Arabidopsis thaliana: one gene and its partner. The protein of the gene in region 1 purifies or fractionates together with the protein of each later gene. This does not show direct contact. Each region holds a gene or a part of one and is shown on either strand. Other genes may lie near its edges.

Region 1 (4,810 bases):
TCCCATCTGTTTGTAGGATGTTTGTGGATTCACTAGATGCACAGATATATGAAGAGCATCATCGAACAAACCGTTGCTATCTGAGTTTAACCAAAGTAAGAAACTCATTCCTTCATCTGCGAAAGTTCATGTGTTTTTAGATCTAAATCAGATCAGTCCACTTGGGTTTGGATTTATGTGTTCAATTTCTCACAGGACAAGCATTGCTATTCGCGGGTACTAGAGCTTCTGGTGAACGTATGGGCTTACCACAGTGCAAGACGCATTGTCTACATAGATCCTGAGACTGGTTTGATGCAAGAGCAACACAAACAGAAGAACCGGCGAGGGAAAATGTGGGTGAAGTGGTTCGATTACACAACTCTGAAAACAATGGACGAAGATCTAGCTGAAGAAGCCGACTCAGACCGTCGTGTGGGTCACTGGCTATGGCCATGGACTGGCGAGATCGTGTGGCGCGGTACATTAGAGAAAGAGAAGCAAAAGAAGAATTTAGAGAAAGAGGAGAAGAAGAAGAAGAGTCGAGATAAGCTGAGTAGAATGAGAAGTAGAAGTGGTCGTCAGAAAGTGATCGGAAAATATGTAAAACCACCGCCTGAGAACGAAACTGTTACCGGAAATTCCACTTTGTTAAATGTAGTAGACGCATAAAAGAAAACAAATTAAAATTGCTTCTTTTTTTGTTAGGTCACTAATTTGTTTCATTCATTGTTTTTGGAAAGATTACTGTATAAAAGGTCTCAAGTCTCATTCATTCACTCTCCCTCTCTCTTCTCACCTCTCTTCGATTTAACCGACGGCTTAAATTCTCCGGCGGTGGAGCTTCACTGTGAACAACAAAGAAAGAGAGAAGATGGAGGAGACGCAAGTTCTTGAGATCAATCTCATCTCTGCGCAAGGACTTAAAGAACCGACGGGAAAGCTCCGGCGATTGCAGACTTACGCATCCGTCTGGGTTGATTCTTCCAGCAAACTCCGGACTCGAATTGATCGGATCGGCTCTGAGAATCCGATCTGGAACGACAAATTCGTTTTCCAGGTATCGCCGGAGTTTCTATCTAGCGAAACTTCTGGTGTTTCAATCGAGATCTACGCCGTTGGTTACTTGCGAGATCATCTGATCGGAACTGTTCGCTTCCTCGTGAGTAACTTCCTCCCAACCGCCGCCGTGAAAGTTCCATCTCTCGTCGCGCTTCAGATCCGTCGTCCTTCTGGAAAGTTTCACGGCGTTCTTAACATCGCGGCTATGGTGATGGATGCTTCTGAACTTCCAGCTGATTTCTTCAAGTCGGTTCAAGAGATCCGTCGGAGTCGGAAAATGAGAAAGTCTAGATCTGCGGTTAGTTCGTCGGAGAACGGTTCCGCTGACGACGGTGAGAGTTCGAAAGAGAATTCGGTTTGCGGATCGGTTAATTTCTCCGACGACGGTACTGACTCGACGGCGTCTTCTCCGATGCCGTCTCCTCTCAGAGACTGGAACGCTGTTCGAAATTTGGCGGGAAAGAATCACGTGCGATCGTCATCGGACGGCGGAGGATTGATGTGCTGTTTCTTGATGAAATCGTCGGGCATGTTACCACCAAGAAGAAAAATGACGGACGGCTGAGATCTGTTGTCTTGAATTTCCAACGGTTCAGATGTTCCTTTGGTTTTCTAAACCATCGATCTTCGTCACGTGCATCTCTGTCAACGGTTCAGGTCTCCTTATCCCTTACGTCGTCGTTTAGGCAGTTTTGGCGGTTATGAGTGTTAGTTAACAAACAGTTTGGAATTTCTTTAGTTCTAGTTGCTCAAAACATTATATTCAATAATTGTTGTTTCGTTTTTGAACAATTAAAAAATCTTTTTGATATGAAATAGTAATAATTCGTAGATCACAGAAAAAAAGTGTAGTAAAAATTATGTAAAAAGTGAAAAAAAAAAAAACGCGGGAAGTCGTTTATGAAGTTTTGAGGAGATAATTGTTAGTTTAACGGCTGGATTAGTTAAAACCACTAATTACGTCCTACCAGAAATAACAAAATCATCATCTTTTATAAAAAAATCAATCACTCTCTCTTGTCTTCTTCATCTTCTCTGTTTGTGCCTTCCTCTTTATCAGAAATTGCAGCTTGTACGAAAACAGGTAAATCTTCATATACGTAGAGCAATCAAATTTTTAGTTTTAAGGTTTTTTATTAAGTTCATAAATTTATGATTTTGCTATGATCTATTTAGGGTTTAAATTATGGCAAAGTTTACGAGATTGATAACAGCCATGGAGCTGAGAGCCACGGTGGAGAATCGAATTCGATACTCTACAAAACACATTAAACACTTGCCACCTGGCTCAATCACTGAGTTTGATTGGAAGGATTACTGTCCCGTTGGTTTCGGGTACGTACGTAATAACATAGTTTCATGTTTTAAGGTAAAAAAAAGAAGAGAATTGGTTTTTGTAATGTTTTTTTTGTTGTTGTTTGTAGACTTATTCAAGAACTTGAGGGTATAGATCATGATGATTACTTGCTATCCATTTGCACTGATGAGACTCTCAAGAAGATTTCTTCTGGGAAAATTGGAAATGTCTTTCATATTTCCAATGATAACCGTTTTCTCATCAAGATTCTTCGAAAATCCGAAATTAAGGTACCCCAAAATCATCTTAACACAATCTACTTTTAATTTTTTCAAGTGTGTATATATGTTCCATATTGAGTCTTTCATTGAAAACAATCTTGTGAAGGTGACACTAGAGATGCTTCCACGTTACTACAGACATATTAATTATCACAGATCATCACTATTCACAAGGATTTTTGGTGCTCATTCTGTGAAGCCTCTTGGAGGTGTTAAGGTGACAAGGATTATATATATATACCACTCCATTATTAGAGTTTGATCAGCCACTAATTAGTTACTTTTTTGGGGATACAGACATATTTTGCTGTGATGTCAAACATGCTACATTCAACGATCTTTGTGAACAAGCTCTATGATCTTAAAGGTTCTCCGAAAGGTCGATCTAACAAGAAAATTGAAGTGAGAAACACCACTGTTTTGAAGGACATCGATTTCGATTTCTGTTTCTACGTTGATCCTTTGGCGAGACAACGCATCATCAAGTACTATCCCACCCCCACCCCTCTTTCTTTCTACCATCTTGATTCTAGTTACTCAACAATTTATTAAACACAAAAGGGGTCATCTCATTACAGGCAAACAAAGCTAGATTGCGAGCTTTTGGAAGAAGAAGGTATAATGGATTATAGCTTATTGGTTGGTTTACAATCTAAAGGCTCATGTCAAGGTAATGTTTCTTCTCTCTTCTTAGGAGTGCAACTATTTGCATATCGACTTTGAACTTTTCTGATCATAATAATAAATCACTCTTAACAGGTTCACTTGATGGATTGAACCCGGTTTACGGTAGCTTCGCACCTCCAAGTAAAAAATCCTTACCAACATTCTTCATTCTTTTGTTTTATGTTCTTATATACCAAGTCTTCAACATAAATGTCTACCGATTAAATTTTTCAGGCTCGTTCAAAAGCAATAGCACAAAGTCGATGAAGACGGCTTCTAGTTCTCCTGATAGATCTTCTGTAGCAATGTATTCATGCTCTCCCGATAGAGGTAACAATGTAACTTTTTAATCTAATTAATCATAGTACTTAACAAAAATTACAATTTTTATAAACTTATTGTCTTACTAACAGATTCAGTCGAAAACGAAATGTCAATGACTATACAATCAGTGACAAGCAATAGCGCAAGCTCAGAAACAAATATATTAGCCACAACACTCAGTGACCTCTTTCACAATAGGTAAAGCATTATCCTACTCCTATATAACAACATTGCTAGAAATTTCACATCAAAAAAAATATATATATATATCTAACTTTTCTTGTTTCAGCTCAAATATCAATTTTGGGATGAAGATTCCAGCGAGGGCACGGCGAGTGACGAGAGAAACCGGAGAAGAAGAATGGTACAATGTTGTTTTGTATATAGGGATAGTAGACACATTTCAAGACTATGGTATGAAGAAACGCATAGAACATTGTTACAAATCCATTCAATATAACTCAAACTCAATCTCAACCGTCCATCCTAAGATCTACTCTTCTAGATTCCAAGACTTTGTCTCCAACATCTTCCTACCTCACGACGATGATCTCTCTTCGAAATATTGAGTTGTTTGTTATTTTTGATTTCCAAGTGGAATTATTAGAGTGTTAAGAGGTACACTTCTTACGACCCAAGTTGGTGTTGGTGTTTGTTGTCCAAAAAATCCTCTCTTTTCTGACTTCATTGTTGATCGATCAACAAAATGTAGAGAAAAACATGAACTATTAATACACATATATCAAAAATATAAAATACAGAAAAAGACAAAACCCAAAATAAAAAAAACCCAACATTGTTCTTGGTTCAACACAAAAGAAAAAACCAATCAAACCAAGTCAACCCTTTAATTAAAACTTTCAGTTGGAACATATATATCTCTGTTTACTTTGTTTTGTTAATCACAAAGCAGCATTTAGAACACTTACAGAGATTAGTCTTGTATGTCTACATTGTTACTCTCTTTAGATCTCTTAGAGATTAGGTTTAGCCAGTTCAACGTTTTTCTCCTTAATCTCTAAATAATTCTTCTGTTACAACATTACAACATATTTAATATCTTATTATCCTTAACCTAACAACTTTTATACTAAACAAAACAAAGCCATTTCTATTTGGGCTTTACTTATCTTATGGCCCAATTGACTTTTCTTCTTTCTTCTTTTTCACGACGCTTCTTCTTCCTCCTCGTACAACGGGC
Region 2 (4,396 bases), on another chromosome or scaffold:
TCTCTTGTTCAATGCCGTTGGAAGTTTGGTAAAGTCATATCTTTTTTGAAAAATAATAGTTATTATTTTGTTAAGTCAAATTGGCTAATGGAGAGAATGTGTTACATGTAGTGAATGCAAACGAGTGCTTAATGACAAGAATGCAAGAGATGTCACTAAACTACCATTTTGTGGCTGAGCAAGAATCTGGATCTTCAATACATGCTTTCTTTGGATTCAATGGAACCGCGGGTGTATGGAGAATCGCAGCTTTAAACGAAGCTGGAGGATGGAAAGATCGAACAACCGTAGAAGATATGGATTTAGCAGTAAGAGCTTGTCTTCATGGTTGGAAATTTGTCTATGTCCATGACGTCGAGGTACTACTACTATAACCCTTTTAAACTCAAGCAAAACATAACAAGATTTCATTCAAGACATTATTAAGTAATCTAACATTTCAGGTGAAAAATGAATTGCCAAGTACATTCAAAGCATACAGGTTTCAGCAACATAGATGGTCTTGTGGACCAGCTAATCTATGGAGGAAGATGACAATGGAAATCTTACAGAACAAGAAAGTGTCGGCCTGGAAGAAATTGTATCTCATATACAATTTCTTCTTCATAAGGAAGATTGTAGTACACATCTTCACATTTGTCTTCTACTGTCTGATATTACCAACAACTGTGCTATTCCCTGAGCTCCAAGTTCCTAAATGGGCAACTGTTTATTTTCCTACTACAATCACTATCCTTAACGCAATCGCTACACCTCGGTAACAACATCTCTACTGTTCAAGTAAAACTCTGTTTTCTCATTTCCTAGTATGATAAAAAGTTTGACATATATTGTCTACTGCAGATCACTCCATCTTCTTGTCTTTTGGATCTTATTCGAGAATGTAATGTCGATGCATCGCACAAAAGCGACATTCATCGGGTTACTAGAGGCAGGACGGGTTAACGAATGGGTTGTTACTGAAAAATTAGGTGACACTCTCAAGTCTAAGTTAATAGGTAAAGCTACAACTAAGCTTTATACCAGATTTGGACAAAGGTACTCTTAACTTAAAAACACACACACAATTACAATTTTTAAGCATTTTGAAATGTTGTAACTAATTTTAGTTAACATTTTGCAGACTCAACTGGAGAGAACTCGTTGTTGGATTATATATATTCTTCTGCGGATGTTACGATTTCGCATATGGAGGATCATACTTTTATGTTTATCTGTTTTTACAGTCTTGTGCATTTTTTGTTGCTGGAGTTGGTTATATTGGCACATTTGTTCCAACTGTTTAGATTAGACTTTTGTATTTGAGAGCAAATGTGTTTTTGCTATTTGATTAGACCAAATTAGAGATTGGATCTTGGTTACTTAAACCAAGTTAACTCTTCCAATATTCATACTCAAAATGTAATTTTTTAAATGGTGTTATGATCTTAAAATTTGGTTATCGATCATATTCATACGTAACATTTTATGAATTTGTATTTGCCAATTGTGTTCTAGAAAGAAAATTGAGAGAAACATACAAAAAAAACAAGTCAACGTCAATGATTTAAGATGTTGAAAATGACATGGCGGTTTTGGATTGGTTAGATGCAATCCACGGCCAATGACCCATCACGCATGTAAACCGCGTAAGCACAAGGCCCCTCCACGAAAACATTCGTCGAGGGGTATTCTAGGTATTACCGGTGATAATTTATGTGAATTGACGTTTTTATCCTTTGCCTCTATAAAGATCTTCTTCCGTTTTTGCAATTACGGCGTCGCGCATTTAGCGTTGTTTTGAAGCTCTCTCTTTCAAATTCTGTTCGTCTCTCGCGATCTCTCTCTCTCTCTCAGATAGCTCCGAAACTTTCACGCAGAGGTATTATTGATCTAGATCTGAGCTAAGGCATTCTCAATTTTGATTGTTTCAGTGTGTTCTTAGGTTGGGAATTGAATATTCTTGCTTCGATTTAGGATTTTTCTTATGATGATCCGTTGTATCTTTGGGTAATGCTTTGGATTTCGATGTTTTTGGTTGAAAATTCTGATTTCGATCTGCTGCTGCATCGTTTCAAGTCTGGATCTATGAACATTATCTTCGATTTCACCTTTTTCTCGTTGTAATTGCTTCAATTAGATTCTGAATTCCGCAAGATCTATACGATGAGGTTTTGTAAACGTTGTTGCATCTGTTTCGATCTGCGTTATTCTAATGATTTATAGTCAACATTTGGAGTTCTCGCTGGTGATCTCTCTTTATGTGATATTGATACTCTGTTTCTGTGTGTTAGTTAAGTGAAGCAGGATGGGATTGTCATTCGCCAAGCTTTTTAGCAGGCTTTTTGCCAAGAAGGAGATGAGAATTCTGATGGTTGGTCTTGATGCTGCTGGTAAGACCACCATTTTGTACAAGCTCAAGCTCGGAGAGATTGTAACCACCATTCCCACTATTGGTAAGCTTAAACATCATTTCATAATTCAGTGTTTCAAAAGCTTAGTTCCATCAACTTTGTTCATACCATTCATACAAAATTTTGTCTTCCACCTGCCGTGATGATTAAACTACTACAAACTGTGGACAGGGTTCAATGTGGAGACTGTGGAGTACAAGAACATCAGTTTCACAGTGTGGGATGTCGGCGGTCAGGATAAGGTATAAGATTATCCAACTCTAAAGCATTAAGAATTCTTTTTTTTTTGCATCACTACCTGGGGATCTTTTTCCTACTGTGTCTTGGTATTATTGTTGATGAACATAGAATTACACAAACTCACATGTCGCAAAACCTCCACTTCTTGTTGTCAGATCCGTCCCTTGTGGAGGCATTACTTCCAGAACACCCAAGGTCTTATCTTTGTGGTGGACAGCAATGACAGAGACCGTGTTGTTGAGGCTAGAGATGAATTGCACCGAATGTTGAATGAGGTCTGTATCAAGTGTTATATCTTTGCCTGTTGTATTGAATTCTTCATGTTTAGATGATTCAGTAAACTGTTTGTCGGGGTTTTACAGGACGAGCTGCGTGATGCTGTTCTGCTCGTATTTGCTAACAAGCAGGATCTCCCAAATGCTATGAATGCAGCTGAGATCACGGATAAGCTTGGTCTCCACTCTCTCCGTCAGCGTCACTGGTAAATAAAAACATTATAATCTCCCCTGCTTCCCTCATGTTGATTTGTTCTCCTGCACATAACGTTTCTTATGATATAGTTCCAAAGATTTATCACCTCTCTGATTGATTTTATGTCTACGAACTCTCTCCAGGTACATCCAGAGCACATGTGCCACTTCAGGCGAGGGGCTTTACGAAGGTCTTGACTGGTTGTCCAACAACATTGCCGGCAAGGTAAATTATCACAAACAACAATTTTGATTTGTGGATCAGTATTTTGAAGCAAATCGTGATTCTTGTTTCTGTGTTCTTGTTACTGGTTGTGCAGGCGTAGAGGGAAAGTTCGTGGTGGAGTTGATTTGCTGAGCAAATCTGGATGCAGGGGCAAACATTATCTGAATTTTTTTTTTGGTTTCCGTTTTCGTTATTGTTCTGCTTTTTTTTTTGGGATATGTCGATGGATTTTGTGATTGTACGTAGAACTTAGAAAAAAACTACCTTTTATATAGTTTTGGTAAAACTGTAATCGAAGATTTCACCTACTGCTTTCGTGGTTTTGGTCACATTTTACTTGTGCACTTTGATTCATATGTTGGAATGCGGTTTCGTTGGCACCTGCTACACGAAACTTGATGATTTTGCTAGTATTTGTCATATGAATCAAGTAGAGGAAAGCCATGACCAGTAGGCGAAATGCTAGAGTGTGGCAGAAGAGGAATGAGTAGACAATTTAATCATAAATCCACTTGTTTGAAAAAAAAGTTAACATTCAAAATTCTTTGCTGGCATCCTCTAATCCCTTTAATATTTCCAAATTCTCGCACTTTTTGAACACCACATTCATTTTTGTCAGAATATTGCGTTCTTAATTTGTCTAGAATAAGCACACTAAAACTAATAATTATCTTAACAACCATGGAATAACATAAATTATCTGTTTTTCTTTATAATATTTTTGTAGAATTGTAGGTTAATGAAATGTATAAATTGTGATTCTAAGAGTATATATGAATAGTACAATTGTACGGTTGGAACTATTTTGCGGATTACTGTTCAAAATTAATGTGTTTAAAGGTCACTGATTTACTTTCTTATTCTGCCAGCCATTAAGGGAACGTTAATCATCATTTTGACTAGAGTGATAGTTGCAAGGACGATATTAAATACAGTATTTGATAAGCAATTAAGGAAAATAAAAGAAACAGAAACAGAAACAGAAGATTTGAGTTTATTGAAGAAGGAATTTAGAGTGATTGGAGTTTTAATAAGTTTTGAGATGATTTTGGTGAATTTTGGTGAAT

The links. Proteins that work in one complex are often made in the same cells at the same time.
Region 2: the proteins of PIPK10 (region 1) and ARF1 purify together in Arabidopsis thaliana (affinity purification with mass spectrometry, with the first as the bait; one study listed by BioGRID). This does not show direct contact.

Annotation. Positions count from the first base shown.
Region 1 is NC_003075.7:503,579-508,388, reverse strand, and holds PIPK10 (phosphatidylinositol phosphate kinase 10), read left to right. Parts: upstream 1-1,985; 5' UTR 1,986-2,227; coding exon 2,228-2,376; intron 2,377-2,465; coding exon 2,466-2,628; intron 2,629-2,725; coding exon 2,726-2,836; intron 2,837-2,916; coding exon 2,917-3,104; intron 3,105-3,197; coding exon 3,198-3,289; intron 3,290-3,378; coding exon 3,379-3,426; intron 3,427-3,519; coding exon 3,520-3,615; intron 3,616-3,698; coding exon 3,699-3,807; intron 3,808-3,898; coding exon 3,899-4,178; 3' UTR 4,179-4,254; downstream 4,255-4,810. Other genes in the region: AT4G01210 (glycosyl transferase family 1 protein), read left to right, coding at 17-95, 196-651; AT4G01200 (Calcium-dependent lipid-binding (CaLB domain) family protein), read left to right, coding at 854-1,606.
Region 2 is NC_003070.9:8,334,945-8,339,340, forward strand, and holds ARF1 (ADP-ribosylation factor 1), read left to right. Parts: upstream 1-1,648; 5' UTR 1,649-1,861; intron 1,862-2,273; 5' UTR 2,274-2,287; coding exon 2,288-2,435; intron 2,436-2,564; coding exon 2,565-2,635; intron 2,636-2,788; coding exon 2,789-2,908; intron 2,909-2,995; coding exon 2,996-3,114; intron 3,115-3,247; coding exon 3,248-3,329; intron 3,330-3,423; coding exon 3,424-3,429; 3' UTR 3,430-3,883; downstream 3,884-4,396. Other genes in the region: CSLA03 (cellulose synthase-like A3), read left to right, coding at 1-28, 112-359, 444-757, 844-1,038, 1,124-1,286. UniProt on the Arabidopsis thaliana protein: GTP-binding protein involved in protein trafficking; may modulate vesicle budding and uncoating within the Golgi apparatus.